Schizosaccharomyces pombe: one gene and its partners. Changing the gene in region 4 together with the main gene of any one other region gives a genetic interaction. Each region holds a gene or a part of one and is shown on either strand. Other genes may lie near its edges. The genes, in order: SPOM_SPBC1778.03C, gar2, gda1 and lsb5.

Region 1 (5,326 bases), 660 kb from region 4:
CAGAAAGCTTTGGTGCCACAAAAGTCGCTCACACTTCGTTAGAAGGAAATGCAGCTTCTCATAAGAAAGTGGAAGAGAACATGCAGCAACCGGTTACCAAAAAGCAGAAAAAATACAGAATGGTTAACGAAGAAGCTCATACCGGTCCGACTATAATCATACCGTCAGATAATAATGAAAAAGTAACTACATTACCTGCAGGTCATGTACCCAGTGAAGAGAAAGGAAAATTTATTAACTTAGCAATGCATGAATTACAAAATGAAGTTTCTATTTTAAGGTCGTCAGTAAATCACCGTGAGGTTGATGAAGCGATCGACAATATTTTAAGGTACACAAATTCAACAGAACAACAATTCCTTGAAGCTATGGAATCTACGGGTGGAAGAGTACGAATTGCCATTGCTAAACTACTTTCAAAACAAACTTCTTAAATTGCCGAGCATCTCTGCCCAAATTCTATTTCTCTAAAGAGACCTAAACTTGTACAATATTACGAATCTTTTTATGCATAATTCATGATTTTATTATATAAATATTTTATATTGAACTTAACAAAATTCTTTTTGTTTCTGGATTTAGTAGGTGTGAATATTTCAATTCTGATGAGCCGATTATATTTGCTTTGATGTAGCAGAGTAAATCAACCTTTTTAGAAAATTCACTTATTATCTTTGGAAAAGTAGCTAAACTTCCATTTTTATAACTTCCTTTACATTTTAACTTGTGAATTTGTCCAATCATCATATGCAAATGCTTGGATCAAATTTCTAGCGATGGATAGTTTAGGGGGAAATAAAATTGGAGCAGGTCCATCCTTGGCATCCCATTCCAAAGAACGAAGAACTTCCTCTCGGGAAAAAAAACGCACATCCTCTAATTCTAAGTCTTTATCTCTCTGGATTTTAGCATTTTTTCGGGCAATTCCAAAACAAGCCAACATTAAACTTTGAGGAAAAGGCCAGGGTTGACTAGCATAATATAAAACCTTTTCTACGTCAACTCCAGATTCTTCATAGGTTTCACGGACAACGGCCTCTTCCAAGCTTTCCCCTGGCTCCAGAAAGCCTGCCAGACATGCATACAGTCCTTTCGGATGGCGCAAAGCTCTTCCAAGTAAAATGTGTTGCATATCATGAGACAATATAACCATTATTACGCATGGATCTGTCCGAGGATACTGGTAATTATTAATACCCTTCTTTGAAGGACAGTTTGAGTCGTCGTTCAATAAAACGTCACTGCAGACCAATTTTGTACCGCCCATAGTAGGTATGTTGCGTTTTCCACAACCCGGGCAAAATCTGTACCTTGAAATCCAGTCAAGAATAGAGCGTGCAAAAGCACAAGCACCAGAATCCGATGCGCTCAATTGATATTGTTCGGTGAAGATAGAGCGAAGATTAACGAAAGTACCTCCATTGTCTCGTATCGATTGCTGAAGTTCATCGATGCCAGTAATGTCAATGGCAAAAACGTTGTGTTGACTCCAATTATCTGTTGGTCCATTTCTTTCTTCGTTGCCCATGTAGACAAGGACAGGTAAACTTTCTCCTTTGGAAAATCGTTCAGCAATTTGTTTATCAGTGTGCTCAAAAGGGGAGAACGTGAAATATTTGGATATCTGAGGATATGAAAGAGTGACCAATTTATCGTCCTTTACGAGTAGAGCCGGATTTAAGTCACAAAAAGGAAGAAAGCGAGTGGTATGATCATAAAAGGCTTTATTTAAAAATTCTCGATTAGACCTAAGAAACGAAAGCCTATTTAATGAGCTTCCTGCGAAGAACTGAGAAGGGGCAGTCGGAAGCCTTGAAAAACGTTAGAAAACTCATTTTTTTAAGATTATTATATCAAAAATTGATTTTATGTGTTACATTGCACATGTATTAGCAAGGGTTGAGCGGTACGTTCCATGAGCATGCAAAACAGATGATATGAATTATCAAGTTTGAAGTAGCTTTAAATAGAACTAACAATTAACTACTTACTCAAAATGTCGAGCTATTTTGAAACCCTGCATACTTAAACTTGATTTCTGAAAGACGAAAAGAATATTAAACCTAACCAATTATTAAAACAGAATTTTGCAAATCTCTCGAATAAATTCTACAATTGTTTAACTGTTAAAATACGCAGAATAGAAAATGAAAGATGGAAATGAAGAACAGAGAGGACCAGAAGGAGGGTTATTTATGCACCAGCGTAATGGTAATGGTACAATTTATGAGTGAACTAAAAGTCGAACCCAAGTTGCAAGTAAAAATCTAATAAAATGATGTAAACGAACTCTCAGCTGGGAAAACCTTAAAGTTCCAAATGAAAAGGGATACTGAATATGAAAAAGTCTCCGTTAAATACGATTGCCATACAACTTCTCAAATGCCATGAAGTATTTAACGAATTTCGTTAAAAAAATAATTGTAAACATATTGGTATGTGTTTTCGCAATTATTAACGCCTTGGTGAGTCATAAAAGTATCATTGGAATAAAAATAGATTTTGTTTGTTTGTTTTTTTGGTTAATTCCTAAATGGACAGTTACGGGAATTGCTTTGAGTTGTTTTCGTTATGTTGACGATTAATTAACTACAAAGTTCTCACGTGTCAGTGTAACAATGTTACCTAGACTTTTAGGTACCTATTTATTTAAAATTGGGTCTATGTTTATTTTACAAGCTTGAATCAAGTAAATATATATTTTCTAATCATATGAATACTAAAAAAATTTTTACAAAGGAACCCAGCAAAACTATCAAATGGAGCCAAAGTAGCTTATTTATTTAGTATGAATGTGATACGCAACGCGACGTGTCGCGCGTTTAATTTACTGGCTTAATACGCGAGGCGAGGCTTTTGTTTACAAACAATACTAGGTGAATATGAGAAAATATTTGAGTAAACAAACAAAATCAAATTGTATATATATCCAGGATACTCCTCCAAACTTCCACAGAAAAAAAGATAGGTTTATCTTTTTACTTCTAGAGGAAAACCTGCATCTTGCTTACCGAGGCCATTGCTGAATATTAAAGCCAGACATAAGTAGGATTAACCAACAGGTGAATTCATCAGCCTCCCAAGGAATATATATACATACTTCTTCTTCCTAAAAATCTTTCCGAGTCAATCCGGAAGAGTATGGACTTCTATTCAGTGAAGTCTCAGCCGTTTGTTCGATCTCCTCTAGTCGACCAAAATCCCAGTATACAAAATATAAACGAAGAAGTAAAGAGAGATATTCAAAATCCTCTTAGCTATAAAACAGAAACTTCGGACAAAGAACTGTGTCAAACTGCAGCTTGCGCAACTTCATGCTCCGACTGGTACCCTCAACAACAAACGCACATGCCTCATCAAAATGCCTTTGACTCTGCTAAAGCCACAGCAAAGATGGCTCTCCCACCCACTGCTTTTTCAAACTACTGTGTAAAACCTTCCCTAACGCGAAACAAGGATATACCAAGAACCAGCATTCGAGTTTCCAAACTTCGTTACTGGCAAAGAGATTATCGATTGGCGTTTCCCAACTTTATATTTTACTTTGACAACGTTGATGAGGAAATCAAGCGTCGTGTTACGCAAAAGATTAATAATCTTGGAGCCGTAAGTAGTTCATGCAAGAACTTGCGCAGATCAAAACTAACACATATATAGAAAGTAGCAACATTATTTACTTTTGAAGTTACACATTTCATTACCACCAGGACTACCGACCCAGAAATGTGCCAGCCGAATGATGTACTTTACCTTTCGAAAACTGCCAATATGAAAATTTGGCTCCTGGACAGTAAGTCTTCTTAATATATCAGTGTAACCTTCGCTAACTTTCTTAGAACTATTGAACAGAATCCTCTTTACATTACTCAACTCTGATAGCCTGGTTAATACCTCAGCTTCGTGCTTGCAATCTCTCCTAGACGGTGAAAAAGTGTATGGTACATCAGACAAAGACTTTTACGTGCCAAGCAAAAACGTCGAGTACTTTCGTGAATACTTCCTCTGCATTAGAGATTTATCACAATACTATAAGCCAATTGCAGTACGAGAATGGGAGAAAACATTGGATTCTGGAGAGATCTTATGGCCAAGTCTTGCTATAACCGCACAAGGAAGATGTCCATTTAATACTGGTAGAAGAAGGGAGTTAAAAATCACAAAACATAACCATCCAGCTCACGAAATCAGAAAACAGCTCTTAAGTTGCACTAATCAAACTAACCAAAATAACGTTGTTAAAAATTCAGCGAGTGTGTTGGTGCGTCAAATCATGGGGGACTATAATATCACAGAATCAGCAGTTGATGGTGCAAAACAAATGCCGACAGAGTTTCCAAAGCCAGAAAACCTCTTACCGGTAGAGAAACGCGCCGCAATGTCTCCACTTAACCTTCTTGAACCTCGTTTAATAAACAAACAAAACACCTTGGCTAACCAAAGTCCTCGACAACCACCTAATGCCTTCGATGCAGATCCTCTAGCTCACAAGAAGGTGAAAATCGAAACAAAATCAGGATATTGTGAAAACTGCTGTGAGAGATACAAGGACTTGGAAAGGGTAAGTTAAACCAATCATAGCAAAAACAGCACTAACACATCGATAGCATTTGGGCGGAAAACATCATAGAAGATTTGCAGAGAAAGATGAAAATTTCCAGGGTTTAGATGATTTGTTTTTGCTAATCCGACGCCCAATTCGGACAAATTAACGTTAGTTCAAGTTTTAAGGATGTCTCAAAAATTCCAGAAAGCAAGTTCAAACATTCAAATAAACCGTAAAATCAATATATCCTTTGTCCAAATGAAAAATTCAAAATAATCTGCTAAAAGGGAAGAGAAAATTAACAATATAATGATGTGTTGTAGCATTCTTTTCTTAAACCAAGGTCAGGCTTAAGCCTATGATTGTAACAAACAATGCAAGTAAAGCTCCAAACATTATCGAGTTTAAATCAAAATAGATTTAAAATAAGTTAGACTGGTTTTCCAAGCGTGGAAAGCTCATTGGTGATACACTCTTTCAAAAGTTCAGATTTGATTTGCATCATTCCTTCCTTTGCGTTTTCTGTTCCAACAATCCCTAATAATAATGGGTCTTTGGAGTAAAGTTTATCTTCAGCCCCATCAATTGAAATGGCGGCTATTAATAATTTCCCCCTTTCAAACTCAATTATTGTTTCAAAAAGTACATCTCTTTGATGAGCAATCACGTCGTCTGTAGACTCCGCGACCAAAGGGCTAGGGTTGGTTGCAGTATAAAGTGAATACATGTTGCCTGCTAAAGCCGCAATAGATCTAACCCTTTTAGCTAAATCCAGACGTTTTA
Region 2 (5,657 bases), on a different chromosome or scaffold from region 4:
ACAGTCTTATTCTTGTAGGGTCGCTCCATTTTCTGCGTGATCGATATCTTTGAATAAATCGCTCCATTCGCCTAATTTGTCAGCAAAGTCCTTAACATCTGTTTACTAACACAGTCAATGGTATGTTCCTAGAAGTGTTAGTAAGACACAATATTTTGTATTCTCACCTGCTGTATAATGTCTCATTTTCCAATTTCTCTTCAGCTGTCAGTTCGGGTTCTTGAAAATAAGGCTCCCATCCAGACAATCCCTAATATTTATTAGACGGGTTTTCTAAAGCTTAAGAAATACCCTCTTTTTTCTTCTATTACCGAGACTTTTTCCTGTACGTTTTTTAAAAGTAGTAAATTCCACGCTATCGCCAATACAACCTGTACTGTCATTTTTAAAATCACCTTCTGCCATCACTCAATCACTTCATCTGGACTGGAAAGTCAGTACACTAGTCGTATAGTTGATTTACTAGTTTATCAGTGTGGTAAGGGGAATCTAAGGAACCAAATTTACAGTGTTGTATTAGAAGCTTTGTTCATAGAGTTAAGTAGACAGTTCCTTTGCCGGATTTAGTAACGCTGGATATATTATTCTACAACCGTTTTTTGAATATGCCAGAACTCATCACTACTGTTACAATTGAATTTAGCTATATTATAATTTGATATACAAAAATATTTTTTTTTAATTTGCTTAAAATAATCGCAACCAAAGTGTAAGTAAACATGCTTGTATTAATTTAAAAGTTGAAATAGAAGCGTATTTGTAATGTAGAATCAATGATACCTTCTATTGATGCTTACCTAATTTAATAGACGAGACATTACAAGTTGAAGATATAAGACAATATGACAATGGCTCGACTACATTCTTCATTTATGATTACGGGTAAGACCACAATCAAAGTTCAACAAAAAATCATTAATTTAAAGTGCCGTATGGAAAAGCCCAAAAAGGAACACAAAACGGTCTTCATTTACTAGCTATTAGAAAGTGATCAACGATGATTGTGAGTAACATGGATTGATTAGATGAACAAGAACAAAACTAAATAAGATTCTATTTTATATTAAAACCTATCTAAAGCTATGTCAAAAGCTTCTATGGAACGTATAAAGGAAAGGTGAATACATGAACTAAACCGTAGAACAACGCCAACCATCACTGCTTTGAAATTGTAAAACCAACGGGCCCATATTTATTATCTTTATAAAGTCAATAAAACCAAACCAAACCCAAATTCATTCCATAACAAACCCAAACAAGTCATTTGTATTTGAATACTTCAACCCAATTAAATCAAATCCACAGCCCAACATTTATTAAAACCCTTTATGCCAAAAAGTTTCCCAAAAACCCAAACTCATATATTAATTTGCTAAGGTATTTACATTTAACCCATAAAAATGAACTCAATATAGTTAAAAGCCAGTATACTTAGTCAAAAGTGACTTTGTTCCCAGAAAATGGAGCAACCGAGCCACGGTTGGGGTTTCCAGAGCGAGCACCACCTCTACCGCGACCACGTCCGCCACCAAATCCACCACGGCCACCGAATCCACCACGACCGCCAAATCCACCGCGACCACCACGGCTACCTCCACCAGTACGAGGAGTTGAAAAGTCCAAACGACATGGGCGACCAGCAATAAAATGACCGTTCATTTCCACACATTTCTTGGCAGAGTCAATATCAGAGAAAGTAACATAACCGAAACCCTTAAGACGTCCTGACTGAGGATCTGTGGGCAAACGAATGGATTGAATGTCACCGCAACCGCCAAAAGCCGTACTGAGATCATCTTCAGTTGCGTTAAAAGACAAATTTCCAACAAATACGGTATCACTAGGTTCAGATAATTGGTCTCCAAAATTACCCGCACGTTGTTGAGCATATGGTTGAGGGTTGGCTGGGCGAGGATTAGAGAGATCTAAGTTGACCATACGACCATCAATTTCCTTGGTACCATTAGCGGCAACAGCAGCCTTAGCAGCCTCAGGGGTCTCAAAATCAACGTAGCCGTAACCCTTTGAGCGACCGCTTTGGCCATCCATAATAACACGTGCACCAACAATTGTACCGTACTCTTCAAATTCCTGCCCTAACCACTGATCATCTACGTTCCAAGAAAGACGACCGACGAAAACAGTGCAAGTCTCGTTAGAATCTTGAGAAGGCTTGGTAATCTTAGCAGGTCTTTCTTCAGAAGCAGGCTCGGCTTTACGTTTCTTCTCGTCTTCAGAGCTGGATTCGGATTCAGAATCAGAGGAAGAGTCGCTGTCTCCAGATTCTGAGGAGGAATCTGACGAGGATTCGGAGTCAGAAGAAGACTCGCTGGAGCCTTCTTTCTTCTCTTCAGTCTTCTCGACCACCTCTTCTTCTTCCTCAGATTCAGATGAGGAAGATTCGGATTCAGATTCAGATGAGGAAGACTCGGAAGAAGAGTCACTAGAGCTCTCCTTCTTTTCTTCAATTTTTACAACAGCCTCTTCTTCCTCTTCAGACTCAGAGGAGGAAGATGATTCGCTGGAACTCTCCTTCTTCTCTTCAGTTTTCACAATCACTTCTTCTTCAGACTCAGACGAAGAGGATTCAGATGAAGATGATTCGGACTCTGAAGAACTAGATTCGGATTCTGAAGAGGAAGACTCGGATTCTGATGAGCTAGATTCAGACTCGGATTCTGAGGAGCTTTCTTCCTTCTTCTTAGATTTCTTTTGCTTTTTTACTGATTTCTTTGAAGGTTCGGGACTAGAAGCACGCTTAGCCTCCTTTTTAGATTTTTTAGGGGAGACATCGGTTTTAGAGCTTTGCTTTGCAATCTCTTTAGCAGCCTCCTTAGTAATCTTCTTGGACTTGGAAGGTTTCTCAATGGCACCCTTCTTTGATGCAGTCTCCTTCACTGATTTCTTAACGGAGGTTTTATCCTTTTTTGCCATTATATTCACAACCTATACCAAAAGCCCGTTTAAAAGAATTTGGGAGTTTTTTAGTTTGACTGCTGGTACGGCGCGACAAGCTGCTATATATAGCCAAAAAAATTTTTACCGATGATATATGTACCTGAAGCCGTATACTAGTATAGCAAATTTTCTAGACGTATTCGTTAAACTACTAATATAGAAGCTTGTTCAACTACTACTATTTTTTATAAAAGCGAGTTTAACTAATTACGCTATCAAGTAATAGCTATCTGCGCTATTCAACAACAAACCAGCAAAGTAAAATATTCGCCATTAATATTTAAAAAATGAGTGTGTCTGAAGGCTTATAACATGTCTTAAAGGTAAAAAGCATATTGAAATTTAATAAATTGTTGAATCAGTGAAACGAAGGAGTTAGGTTTAGTCTTGCGTAGTATTATCTGGAGTGGTGAATATGTAAATTCTTATGAACGATAACATCTTATCCAAGTTATTTGTGTTCGTCAAATATTATAAACTAAAAAGTGGCCGTGAAAATGTACATTGTTGATCCATTGAAATTTTAAAATCATGTTATAGTAACAAAAAATTTCGACCAGCCTATGGAGAATACCATGGTTTAATCGTCATATTAAGATTTATTTTTCTTTCATTATTGTGTACATGATTTCCGTTTTTATGTGATACTTTAATTAAATAAAAGATGCCTCATTTACTTATCTCAAGTTTTACAAAGCAATTACCTTAAAGGGCTCTCAATATGCTAAAAAGTTTTCAACTCTTTAACCAAAGAAGCAGCTGCTATGTTAAATGCAGTAACTAGCCACAAATAAACAGTGAAAAAAGTGGTTTAGATAATTTTCAAATACATGCTTAATTATTTCATCTGATGTAACAGCGTAAAAAATCACAATCAAACAATTCAATTGTGCACAAGTTACCACGAAATAGCATATTTTCTTTAAAATAGAAAAGTTTACCATTTCCCGAAATTATTAATGGTAAACTAGATTTAGATATTGCAAATAAAAATAAAGGGTTCATTAACGGGAACAACGCAAAAGTAATGGTCAGATCGAGAAAGTAATGTAGCATAGATGACAGCTAAACACAGAGCTACGCAAGTAAAAAAAATCGTAGAAGAGAAACATAAAATAGGTTAAGTAACAACGGGGGTTCCTCTTTAACAAGAAATATTGGAATCATCAGATGCGAAAGAAAAGACAAAAAGAAGCGTAAATCTTGTTTAAGCAGTAGCCATCAAAGCCTTTACCTTGGCAATGGCAAGGCCAGGGTTCAAACCCTTGGGACAAGTACGAGCGCAATTCATAATGGTATGGCAACGATAGACAGACATAGAGTTCTGCATGACATCCAAACGTTTAGCAGTAGCTTGATCACGAGAATCGATGATCCAACGATAAGCCTGCATCAAAACTGCTGGGCCAAGATACTCTTCTGAGTTCCACCAGTAAGATGGACAAGAGGTAGAACAACAGGCACACAAAATACATTCATACAAACCGTCAAGCTTGGCACGGTCAGCGCGAGATTGGTAAAACTCCTTGTCTTTAGGGATGTTATCGTTTTGCAACCAGGGTTCAATACTCTTATATTGCTTATAAAAGTAGGTTAGGTCAGGTACGAGATCCTTTACGATGAAGCAATGAGGTAAGGGGTAAATTTTAGTAGGTTTGTTATCTTTTTTAATGTTACAGATGCAAGCCAAAGTATTACTGCCATTAATATTCATCGCACAAGACCCGCAAATACCTTCTCTGCATGAGCGACGGAACGTTAAGGTAGGATCTTGCTCATTTTTGATTTTAATAAGCGCATCCAAAACCATTGGTCCGCATTTTGTTAAGTCGACTGTATACTTTTGAAGCTTTGGCTTTACTTCTGGTTTCTCTGGGTTCCAGCGATAAATCTCGAAAGTTTTTAAATTTTCACCCTGTGACTGAGGATTAGCAGAAGTGGCAGATATGTTGGCCTCTGTAGCCATCATACGGGCATTTCTGTTAACAAAATGCTTCAAAAACGGGCTCAAAACTTGAATTCGACGGCTGAACATCTCGATATGTTTTGATTTTTAATATTGGCAGTTGGTAAGACTGGTAAAGGCGAGCGTTGTGGTTGGCTATTATAGATGGAAACAGAATCAATTTTATTGGCGGCAGAAAAATACATTAAATTTTTCACTCATATCCAAAATAAAACTTTTAAATATTTTTGTGTATTAAATTTAACAGTTTCTTCAAAAAAAAATCCCCCGTACATCTAAAACATGTATGGGGATCGCGTGTTTACTGGCCTGTCGTAGACAGCGTTAAATTATTTACGCGATAGGAAGTTGGCTAACGTATTACTCGCTTAAGTGCAGTTAGTCAAGATGGTCAAAGCGGTTTATCCAAACAAATTTAGTTAATTAATGTTTAAATACGCATACTTCGAGTTTTAATATTACTTCCGTAAAATAAATATTCAAAAAAAAAACCTATTTATTTGGTAGAACTGTATGACTTTAATCTCGTCTCTTTTCATATAAGGTGCTATTAACTGATTAATAAACCGGTAACCTAATAACCCTTGAGCCGAATTACTGCCAAATTTACAAAACAATCATGTAGATTAGAGTGAAAGGATAGACAGTATGAAAATATTAGAGTCATATTAAAAAATAAATACTTTCTGTAATTGATAATTTAATTAAAATAAAAAACAAAAGTCGAGAAATA
Region 3 (6,012 bases), on a different chromosome or scaffold from region 4:
ATTTGGATTCATGGACAGATGAACAAACTGAAAATATGACAAGATGGGGAAATGAACGTGCTAATTTGTAAGTTTGTCTACTTTTCAAAAAAACTTTGCGCTCACGTCCTAAAATATAAAAACTAACAACTTTAATAGGTATTGGGAAGCCAAACTTGCGGGTGGTCACGTTCCCTCTGATAGGTAGGTTTTTATTGATAATCCTTAGCATAGCTGGCATTGAATGTTATCTTTCTAGGCTACATACCCTTTACACGTTGCTAGCAAATTGGAAGCTTCTTTTTTGTTTTTTTTACTGCATATTTTCTGACCTAGATTTAGTAAAATTGCGACTTTTATAAAGACGAAATACGAATTTAAAAAATGGGTACTCTACCCTGAAATTCCTTCTCCGGAAACGCTAAAACCGGAACAGAATACCAGACCTGTTTCAGAAGTCAACGCCTCTTTAGATCTTAATACTGCTTCTCGATCTTCCAGTGCTCACTCAGTTAAAAGCACTTCTTCTGCTACAGTTACCAACGTTACTTCCAAGAAAGAAGCTATATCAGCTACCACTTCTTTAGCCCAGTCGTCTCCTAATTTAGCTTCTTTATCCAAGCAACCTTCTACTGTGCATGCTCCTTCGACTAGACAACGAGATTTAAAGTCTTCAATTCTCTCCTTATATGCATCTCCACGACCACAAGTAAGTTCTTCAAGCATAACCACCAATGCAACATACCAAAATCTACCGTCCCCAGTTTCAACTAGTACTACGTCTAGCCAACCTTATGGTGCTTTTCATCAACCGGCTACGACAGGATCCTCCTTTGTGGCAGATAAGTGGAAGATGCCTATGTTCACTTCTAATGTGACCAGTGCACAACCATCTGCTAGAGCATCACCCGTTCAATCCAATTCTTCTCGGCCGCGATCTTCTTTAGACAGTAAGATTATTAATTCTCATGATGTTTGGAAATAGCCTTTAGTGACGCTTATACAAATTAACAGAGGTTTTTACTACTTATTTTGAAATATTTCATTAATTTAGCTATTTAAGTTCATCAATCGATGTCGGCATTTATGGATTCCTATATTCAACCTTCATTATAATACATTTTCTACTTTTCAGTAAATATAAATGACATAAATGTATTTATTAGGTCTATTATCGCTGAAAGTTTATTAAGTATTAAAAGCTAGCACACATTGTATGTATTCCGTAAAAAGATGCCTACGATATTTGGGAAAATTGCCTTGATCAATTTCAACTTTCCCAGAAATTTGAAAGATTTGATTTACATGAAACAAACCAGTGGAATAAAGAATGTCCCTCAATCTATTAATGTTAGTTGTACAACAAATGTTAGATTTGCTATACGCCCGTAAAGAAGTTAACACTGAAAGGAGCGGAGTAGCGAATTTTGAGACATGGAAATAATATGGACGAATGTAGAAAAGAAAAAAGAAAAAAGAAAAAACAAGAAAAAAAACAGGATCAACTATATTAACCCTTGACCTCCTGAGGTTTTAAGCAAACAAGTTTACATATGCTTGTTGTTCATTCAACATAATAAAAGAAGGTAAAAACTAAATTTCTTCTTTCACGTTACAATTCCAACCATTGTTTTGCTCTGACAACATAGACAAACTAGCTCCCAAACACCATCCAAGTTCCTTGTTGTCAATTTTCTTAGCAGTATGGAGCTGTCGGTTATTGGGGATTTCATACCCAACCGAAAGTAAAGAAATCATATAATTCAAATCTAAACACCACTCTGGCTCTTCTTTCAACTCTTTAAGGGCGTCAGTTAAAGAAAAGGCGTCCTGCCAGTATGTTGGTCCACTACAAACACTATTTGCCAAATATTTCATATCTTCAATGGTAAAAGTGCTTGGCATGCCTAAACTGATCATACGATCGTAAAAATAACTGATTAAATAAATGGGAGAATCAGTAAACGTCTCAGTGAACTTGGGTTGATGAACACCATTGAAAGAACAAGGACGGACTGGGCAATTTTTGTCTTTATACAAGGCTTTTTCTGCTATACCACGACACTGAAGAGAAAGATGGGCTAACGAAGGGCCAACGAACACGACCTCAGAAGCTTCGCTTTTTGAATCCGGGTGCGTTAGACTAGCGTTGAGATGCAAACATGGATGGATGATGCTAGTGGAATCACCGAGCAACTCCAATGACTCCTTTAGGGCCTCTGCATTATTCAGCACAAATTTATGAATCAGCTTTCGAGCTTCCTTCAAACCATAACCTAAGTGAGAATGTTGATAAAGTTCATATTGCTCACCATTGTAGTCTAAAACATACTTATGGTCACCATCAACAAGCGATTCGCCATCAGAAGCGAAACGTGGTTCAAAAACAAGCTGTGTAGAAGCACCACCGAGGTCCATTACAGCGACAGTAGAGTGCGTGGCTTTACCACCCAAAGTTCCTAGAAGGTAATTAATGGTAATCCACGCATATATACCTTCCATGGAACCTTCAAGGATAGAAACACCGTCTTTTACAATAGGAAAAGGGTAATCGTTTTCCAAATGTTGTCGCACTGATTTCAAAATAGCTTTAGCCTCACTTTCCCCAGTCAATCGTAAACCAGCGGTTGCTTTTACAGCAATAGGGGAACAACGACGATATTCCTCAGGCACGTTTTCCATGGCATAGTCAAGTAGTGGGTCTAAGGATGCCGCTGCTCCTTCAGGATCACCGGCAAAAGAAGATAAGCCAGGCTCTATCATTTTAAAAAACTCTTCTTCTAATTTGGGAGAAGGATTGCAGTTGTTAAATTGGTAAACATGAACACGAGACCCAGTGGAACCAGCATCGATCATCAAAACATATTGACGAACAGGCTTGCTGTTATCATAAGCCACAGAACAATCATCTGAGTCAATAGAAGAAGAAAATGTTACATCCTTTGCCGCACTGGTTGGAGCTATTTTAGGTTTAGAAACAGCAGTCTTAGTAGGGATAGAGGTAGTAACAGGAAATAAAGGTTCTTCGGAAAAAAGAGGTTCCTCTAACTCATCCTTGGGATTCAAAAGATCGACTACCTCTCCTTCACTTCTGTAGCCTGAAGGAAGCTCGATGTCCTCATAATGGAATTCGTCGTTTGAAGATGGTAAAGGTCGGTTTGATGAGCCTGGGAATCCATTCCATAAAATGAACGTAACAGCAAATATAGATAGTGCAATTAACAAAGCCTTCCTACGGGCTATTGATTTCATAGTTGGAGTCATGAAATGAGTGAGTAATCCTAAGAGATATTTGGTGAATTCAAATAAATTGGTGAAGAAGTCAATTAAATAAGAAAGAGTGAATAAATGAACGCGATTTTATGATAATTATATTAATTAGTAGGCACCAAAACACCTATCAACACTTACTACTTGGTTGATGGCAAGTTAAATAAACATTAAAAACTGGCTTAGCATATATTCAGAGTTGTAAATGCTATTGTGTGGATACCTCTCTAATCGCGTTAAATCATTTACGGTAAAAGTGCGACTGTATAGGCCACCCAAAATTATATGTAAATACAATAACTTAATCGAAGTTAAGATAATCAATCTCTTTATTGCTTACATGTAAAGAAACGAAAACATTTATTTGAATAAAATAAACTCAGGATGCAATTTACTCTGACACCGCTAAACAGCCTTCAATTCGTATATGTGATCCAATTGAAAAATAGATCAACTATATTCTTGCTCTAGCTCCTAGTAGAATCAAGCAAAGCAACCGAGCTTACCAAGGCATACATAAAACATCATCAGATAAATTCAAAGTCGGTCTAAGCAGCGTTTTTCATGTCACGCAATTTCTTCATAACAGTGATTGGATCACTACTGCCCACTGCTTTTTGTACCGATTCTAACCCAAGGCACATGAATGGATTGAACTTCTTTTCGTCACCGATGGTAAAGTGACCAGTAGTAGATTCATGATTCTTGCAAAAATCCACCAATTTTGTAAGCTCAGGAGTAGAGAAGATCGTGGAACTAAACTTGGCATTTGATTTGGTGTATTCATGACCAGGGTAAGTTACGGTATCATCGGGTAAAGCAGCAAGGACGTGATTCAAAGCGTAGTCCATTTGTTTGGCATCTCCTTCAAAAAAGCGACCACAGCCTGATGTAAAAAGAGTATCTCCAGTAAACACGGCTCTTTTTGAAGGAGAGGAAACGTAATAACAAATACTGTCTTGGGTATGGCATGGCGTATGAAGAGCCTCAACTTGAACTTCTCCAACCTTGAAAATCTCCTTATCTTTGGGAGTGTATGTGACACCAGATGCATTTTTTCCGCCATAGACCTTTAAAGAAGGAAAGTAGCTCAAAATGTCTTCGTTGCCGCCTGCATGATCATAGTGATGATGAGTGGTCAGAATGTACTGCAAATCAATTTCTTTCTTCGCCGTTTTCTCTTTTATGACAGGAATAACACTAGAGTTTGTCAATGTTAGTTTGGTTAATTAAATGTTACGGAGCGCACAAACAAAACAATTCGGAAAACAGGAGGAGAAAATCATGTTTCCGAAATCACAGATAACAGTATTTAAGTCGTTATTTCATTCTCTTCACTTACCTCTCAGGCTCAGCAGGGTCGACGATGGCAGTGATTTTGGTTTTATCACAAGTCAGCAAATAGGCATAGTTGTTGCCCGTTCCTTTCCACATCCATATGGGCGTAATATGAAAAGACATCGCGTTTCTTATTATCTTATGCACTTTAAAAAAAAATGAATATACTAAACTTCCTACTCTACTAAGAAACAAAATCTTAGAGAACGTATTTGTTTAAGTCAAAAAAAATTTGACAGTACGCACTTATATACGGTAACGTCAGAGTGATATGTAAAGGCAGCTTCTGTGTTAATAATCATTGTTAGAAGCGAAATTTCGATGTTTATTAATCAATTCATTTTTTTTAATTATGATTATGAAATAAATTTTTAAATAAACATACTTCATATAAACTGTTACTGAAGTAGGTTTTAACAATGTCATTCAAAGCGCAAAAGTCAAAAACTAAAATCATTTCAAAGAGTATACATTTTGTAAGGAATGATATTGTTTACGACTAAGGAAATCAAATGCTCGAATTCTTCTTTTAACTTATCCTTGTTGTGAATTGATACTCGGAATGCATGGAAAAGAACCTGACAATTTTCCATTGAAAACGTTTTGGAAAGTAAGTGTCCGGAAACATATGAGAGACTCAAATTTAATCTAAAAAAGAGTTAAACTATTAACACTCGGTACAACCATCAAAAAGGAGACAAAATCATTGACGCTCGAAATCAAATTACTAAATAGCTCCAGCGTAGAGAAAGAAAAAAAAATACAATTTCGGGGTTTCCTTCGCATTTTCCGAAAAAGGATTGATATAAGAGTACGAAAAGAATCGAAGGCGATGTACTATACGGAGCAAACACACATCTTTAGAAGCAAAAAATAAAATAAATTGACAAAAGGTGTCTGCAACTGAATAGTAAAAGTTTTTTGGAAAAGCAAACAATAATTCACACAATGATTAGTTCTATTAAGGGCATCATAGCTTTCAGCTAAATTTTAGCAAGAAAACATTAGTTCTCCAGCAGATACAGCACATAATAATATTAACAACGATGCAGACCATTATTCATCACTTTTAAGCTTTCGGTATGGAGCTGTATTCAAGCCATTTCACCGCTTCAAGAACACTAGGCATTGATCGCTGCTTAGAAACAGGGAGTGCCCATGAACTAAATTTTCGGATTGATCGATCTGCATCCAAAAGTGACTTGGCCTCGTTTACCTTGCTGGCTACATAAGGGCTACCACCCCGATCTGGATGATTTGCAAGCATCAACCTTCTGTGAGCCTCTTTTATTTTTTGTCGAGTTAAAGTACGGTTGTTCAATGACAGAATTTGAATGGCTTCTGCCCTAGACATTTTTGACTCAAAACCACCCTTGAGAAAGGCCTTTACTCCGCCATTCAAATTCCGGTATTTTCTGAATGCGT
Region 4 (5,315 bases):
CATCTTCCTTGACCCAAAACTTGTTAGCTTAAATTCCTTTACAAAAAATTATTTGCTTACGTAGAAAACATAAATTCTGTCTTTGTTTGCTGATTTTGATGTCCCTGATTTCACGGCTCCATTTATTGATTTATTATGGTCGAGATTAGTACCTCCCTCAGTTTTTTTACACAATTTGATCGGTTGGTTTTTTACAACGTTCGAATGGTTGGACTGACTTTGTGATTTTAGCTCAAACTTGGGTAAATAAGGAGATGCATGTGAGTTATCATTGCCAATAATATCGACATTACCAGAGGATGTTTGGCTTTCACTGGAAGATATATAATTTTGGCTTAATGGAAACGAGTTTATTAAACCATCACTTTTTCCTATAACAAGCACATCATTGATGATTTTCGGAGAGTTTTTATGGTGTTCTTGGTTAAGAAGGTAATCTGATAGCTTCTCACTTTTGTATCTTTTATCGGCTTTTGTATTCTTATCTACTAAAGTAACGTTTCGAGACTTAGCTTTCTTTAATTGTTTACTTTCAGAAAATGTTTCCTTATTTGAAATAATGTCAAACGCTGTCACAGTTCCTTGATTTGTTATTTTGGAAAAGTCGCTTTCCCGATAAATCTCAAATGTTGGTTTTCTTTTTCCACACATGGTTGTGGATTTGGTATAATTTTCCATTTTTAATTAATTTCCGTGATCCTCTTTTCTTTTAGTCTTGAATTACCCATTCACTTTGGTTGTTGTCTTAGTAGTATGGTATGGAATGTAAACAAACAAACTCACGAACGAATGCCTTTTAAGTGGCTACAAATTTAGGATACCAAATTCTCTATTTAATTGGTTAAAATGTTATGTATTTGTTTTTTGTATTATTTGACGGTTAAAATTAAGCATGTATGCATCCATTTTACATAAATAATGTTGTGCTGCTTTTTTGAGATGGACGGTATACTATAATGGCTTTAGATATCTCGAAAACAACTTTACTTTTTAAATTATGTTAATTAAAAGAAAACATTTTTTAAAGCGCGTTACTTACAAAGATTGACTACAACTAGTGTGCAAAAAAAATAAATTAATTAAACACCTTATCAGTTAAACGCAATAAAATTGGCAATAATATAAACAAAGGCGCACGGTTGCTAAAAGGTTGACTAAAAAGGGATTGTATCTAATAAGTCGAATACAGTAATATATATCTAGTGCATGACCCAACTAAAAGACTCATAATCTTAAAAAATTATAATTGTCCAAGATAAATAAGGCACTCATATTAAAGAGATGGAAGGTAGAATCATTAAGAAGATGTTGAAGGCAAGATGAAATGCTTTTTAACCTTCGCACCCCTTGATATCAATCGATCATTACCAATTAATTAGGTATTCAAATCCATTAAAAAGGAAAGCTTATTAATTATTCCAAACGATTATGATCGCCAAAAGGATTGTTTACATCCAAATCTTCTGATCTCTGAGCATTAGAACCTCCGCTACTCGAGCGAGATATGTAAGAAGCCCGATCATCAAGGTGACGAGAATATGAAGAACTATAGGATCCACTATCTGAACTATAATCTGAGTTTTCGGAGCATTTTTCCTTGAATGCATCAATGGCTGTCACAATTTCATCGTTTGCCTTCAAGAGATTGGCTAACCACATCTCGTCTTGAATAGCTTGTATGTAGCGCAACAAGGAGCGATGAGCACGTTTACAATCCACATAATAAACCATGATTTGCTTGTTTTTGGCCGGATTTTCTGTGTTAGGATTGATTCGGACAAGGCTATTAGAAAGATTGGTAGCAGCCATGCTGGAAGAGGCTATCAATCTTTCTAAAATTGGACCAACCTTTTTAAGATTGATAGTGGGTTGTTCAGAATGCGAAGCAGATGATTGTCGTTGAGGAAGTCGAGATACTAAACTACTCATGCTTTCCATTCCACGAACATTAGAATAGTCATTGTGCCAAAGTTTGATCATATGGATAGCACGCTTACGAACGGGTTTAGAATATTCAGAATTTGTTGCACATTGCAACATTCGGTCTTCCAATTTTTCGTCTGAGAAATTTTGTAAAAAATGAGAGCCAGCATTTTCAATTAAAGCCTGGAGAATAACAAGTGCCCGAACTTGTTCATGAGGTGTACTGTACTTTAACTTCTTACGAAGGGTACGAGAAGCCTCTCGCGGACCAGTAACAGTTAAATTAACGGCTTCAGATAATTGAACGATACCAGACAAATCCTCATCGTCGGTATCTCTAGAGGTTAAACGATCGATATAAGTGGTGACAGCAGTAATTGGAACTGTTTCACTGAAAATTCCCATTATAAATAAGATGAAATAGTGATTTTAATTATTCACTGAGATAATGATAGCTTGAGTGTTTGATGGCTTGATGGAACAAATTAAAGTCTGAAAATATATAGCAGCAAGGAATAATTTTCAATCGATTGTAAACGGACCTTCCAATAAACGAAAGTAGTACCTTCTGGTTGTTCTTTCAAGTAAAATTTTATGAAGTTTTAAAGCTATCGAATAGAAAAGTTGTCTATATTTGCAAAAAGAAGAAGGATTTTGGTGTGTGTCGTATAGATAAAGAATATCATATTACACTACGTTCCAAAGTTGTGATACAAAAATAATTAACGAAATGAAGAATGAAAAAGATCATAAATTAACCCGAAAATTGATGCTTGAATTTTAGAGAAGATTATGCAATTTTTGTTAATTTATTTGCTAGCAAAATATCCTGTAGATATAGATTCTCAGCTGATATTTACTAATTCTGTATGCCGGAATAATATTAAGTAATAATTAAATGATAGTTATTAACAACTTATTATGAAAAAAACTAGCTTAAAAAAAAATTTTTTTGAATAAATGAGTATTATTGAATTTATATGTTTTAAATATAAAACACAAATTCCTGTATCACCCACCGTATACATAGAAACAAAAATATATGTATATATATTCGTATAATATATCTATAAACTACGAAAGGCCGATGTCACAATTTGTAAGATTTATAAAAAAAGAAATCCAGAAAACTTTTAGAAATTAAAGTTACTTCTAATCTCAAAAGCTAATATTAAAAACAGTTAGCCTACGTGAATTTTTTTTTTTTGTAATTCTAACCCAACTGTTGTAAGTGTGCATTGTTTTATTCATTCAATTCTTTTATACATTTATTTACCGTTTTTCTCAATTTGTCTATTGCGCCCTGTTATTAACTGAGCGTAGTGCAAATACATAACATGTTTATAGTTACAAATTTTAGAAATGGTAAATTACTAGTCGAATTTTATTTAAACGAAAAGCTGAAAGCTATCATCCTTTATTCTTTTCAAACCGAAAGAAATTGTATTGAGACGAATTCATTAATAGTTAATTTAAGCAAACGTAAACATGTAAATTAGAAATCGCCAAAATCGTTCTCTTCATACTTACTACTAGAAAAAAGCATAGAGAAGCTTCCAAATTTGAACTATATGTAATTATTCAGTTTCATTTCATACGTACATTAATTAAATATTTTCTTTAACTACTTATTTTCGGTTACCTAGAGAAAATTAGTATAACTAGGCATGAGGTAAGTCATCTCTTGCCAACCACCAACACACTGAGCATAACAGGTTTTCAGAAAATCCATCCATCTTACACCAATGTTTATCATTAACTGGTTCTACGATGCTCTTGCCATGCTTGGTCTTGTCAACAAGCATGCCAAGATGCTGTTTTTGGGTTTAGATAACGCCGGAAAGACCACCTTGCTACACATGCTGAAAGTATGTTTGACTTCTACTCTCCTTGATTATCCTTATACTAATTATTTAGAATGACCGTTTAGCTGTAATGCAACCAACTTTACATCCTACTTCAGAAGAACTGGCTATTGGCAACGTTCGATTTACTACTTTCGATTTGGGAGGTCATCAACAGGGTATGTAGTCACAGAGTTGTTTTTCTAAATCATGGAGATTTTGTAAGAGTTGGAATGTCTTTAGAATAATTAATTTTTTTTCGCTTAAAATTCTTTTTTGTATAAAGTTGTTTGAATTTCTATATCGTCTCATATGTCGTTGGCTAGTTTATCAGTGGGCCGTTTTGTTCTCATGATCTTTGTTTTTTCTTTGCAATTTCTTCTATGATTTTGGATTCTCTATCTGATTTTATGTATTTTTACTAATTTTCTTATAGCTCGCCGCTTGTGGAGAGATTATTTCCCCGAGGTTAATGGCATTGTTTACTTGGTTGACTGCTGTGACTTTGAACGCCTTTCTGAATCAAAGGCCGAACTAGATGCCTTATTGGCCATGGAAGAACTTGCTCGCGTCCCCTTTTTGATTCTTGGCAATAAAATCGATGCCCCTGGTGCTATTTCTGAAGATGAACTCAAGGCGGCCCTTGGACTTTATCAGACCACTGGTAAGGGCGTGTCTAAACCCGTTCCTGGAATCCGACCTATCGAAGTATTCATGTGCTCGGTGGTCCTTCGCCAAGGTTATGGCGAAGGCTTCAAGTGGCTTGCTCAATACGTCTAAGTTACCCCATTGCATCCTCTTAAAAACCTTTCACTTTGAATGACGCCCGTTCCAAATTTCCCTAATTGTTTGCTCAGCGCTTACATAGATTCGCCCAATTCAGATTTACAAACTTGATGACAAGTCTTTTTTGTTATATGATATTCGTGCGGTCAATTGTTTTCATCTACGGAGCATTTGTCTTTACTGACTTTGCAGTATGCTCCTATGCTGATAACGTATTGTGTATTATCCGTTAGCCCATTTTTTTCAGTTGTGATTCTAAAGCTTGATTATTGGTTCTTCAGAGATATTTACTTATCTTTTGTGAATATGATCATATATAGATGATAATCTATAAAGTTTCGTAGAGCACCATATTGTAAGTGTCCCATAATTCATCTAAATCCGAGCTAGCTATGTGTATCACTTTTAAAATCTTTTCGGCATGAGAGACGATTCCAACCACTCTGATCATAGTTGCCGGTTTAGTTAAAAGAGGCGATATTTCGCAACATGAGTAATATTTAGCAAATATCGCTGGTGATTTTTGTCCACGAAATGCGTCTTCAAAGTAGTAGAGGATGACATTGCCGACTTTTTTTGCAGAGCGCACTTTTGCTATAACGTTAGATTTCATTTTTATGCAATAAAACCAACATATATTGAGAGCAAACATAATAGACCTTACCAAAAAATTCAACTATAATGCATACATCTCTTCGTTTCATCCTGAATACTGCTAAGACTTCTCCTACACGAAAACATGTTCTCAAAACACTTTCCGAA

Evidence for each region.
Region 1: mutations in lsb5 (region 4) and SPOM_SPBC1778.03C together harm fitness more than expected from each alone (negative genetic interaction), as found in Schizosaccharomyces pombe (one large-scale study listed by BioGRID).
Region 2: mutations in lsb5 (region 4) and gar2 together harm fitness less than expected from each alone (positive genetic interaction), as found in Schizosaccharomyces pombe (one large-scale study listed by BioGRID).
Region 3: mutations in lsb5 (region 4) and gda1 together harm fitness less than expected from each alone (positive genetic interaction), as found in Schizosaccharomyces pombe (one large-scale study listed by BioGRID).

The regions. Positions count from the first base shown.
Region 1 is NC_003423.3:3,100,143-3,105,468, forward strand, and holds SPOM_SPBC1778.03C (NADH pyrophosphatase), read right to left. Parts: upstream 2,222-5,326; 5' UTR 2,024-2,221; coding exon 1,992-2,023; intron 1,812-1,991; coding exon 713-1,811; 3' UTR 501-712; downstream 1-500. Other genes in the region: telomere-binding protein Rap1, read left to right, coding at 1-434; Spo4-Spo6 kinase complex regulatory subunit Spo6, read left to right, coding at 3,142-3,606, 3,658-3,790, 3,837-4,558, 4,605-4,709; guanyl-nucleotide exchange factor Lam2, read right to left, coding at 4,974-5,326. UniProt on the Schizosaccharomyces pombe protein: mRNA decapping enzyme that specifically removes the nicotinamide adenine dinucleotide (NAD) cap from a subset of mRNAs by hydrolyzing the diphosphate linkage to produce nicotinamide mononucleotide (NMN) and 5' monophosphate mRNA.
Region 2 is NC_003424.3:1,894,800-1,900,456, reverse strand, and holds gar2 (nucleolin), read right to left. Parts: upstream 2,996-5,657; 5' UTR 2,935-2,995; coding exon 1,432-2,934; 3' UTR 966-1,431; downstream 1-965. Other genes in the region: arb1 (argonaute inhibitor protein 1), read right to left, coding at 1-71, 111-128, 168-250, 292-405; sdh2 (succinate dehydrogenase iron-sulfur subunit protein), read right to left, coding at 4,166-4,993. UniProt on the Schizosaccharomyces pombe protein: Helps the assembly of pre-ribosomal particles containing 18S rRNA.
Region 3 is NC_003424.3:1,695,269-1,701,280, reverse strand, and holds gda1 (Golgi nucleoside-diphosphatase Gda1), read right to left. Parts: upstream 3,411-6,012; 5' UTR 3,244-3,410; coding exon 1,573-3,243; 3' UTR 1,119-1,572; downstream 1-1,118. Other genes in the region: SPOM_SPAC824.09C (GTPase-activating protein), read left to right, coding at 1-67, 139-183, 322-964; hydroxyacylglutathione hydrolase Glo2, read right to left, coding at 3,798-4,449, 4,592-4,710; TIM23 translocase complex subunit Tim14, read right to left, coding at 5,657-6,012. UniProt on the Schizosaccharomyces pombe protein: After transfer of sugars to endogenous macromolecular acceptors, the enzyme converts nucleoside diphosphates to nucleoside monophosphates which in turn exit the Golgi lumen in a coupled antiporter reaction, allowing entry of additional nucleotide sugar from the cytosol.
Region 4 is NC_003423.3:3,760,183-3,765,497, reverse strand, and holds lsb5 (protein lsb5), read right to left. Parts: upstream 2,562-5,315; 5' UTR 2,329-2,561; coding exon 1,414-2,328; 3' UTR 1,059-1,413; downstream 1-1,058. Other genes in the region: protein Mde2, read right to left, coding at 1-7, 61-678; ADP-ribosylation factor Sar1, read left to right, coding at 3,669-3,791, 3,841-3,946, 4,204-4,547; protein mug37, read right to left, coding at 4,882-5,147, 5,218-5,315. UniProt on the Schizosaccharomyces pombe protein: Essential for the organization of the actin cytoskeleton, fluid phase endocytosis and vesicle trafficking.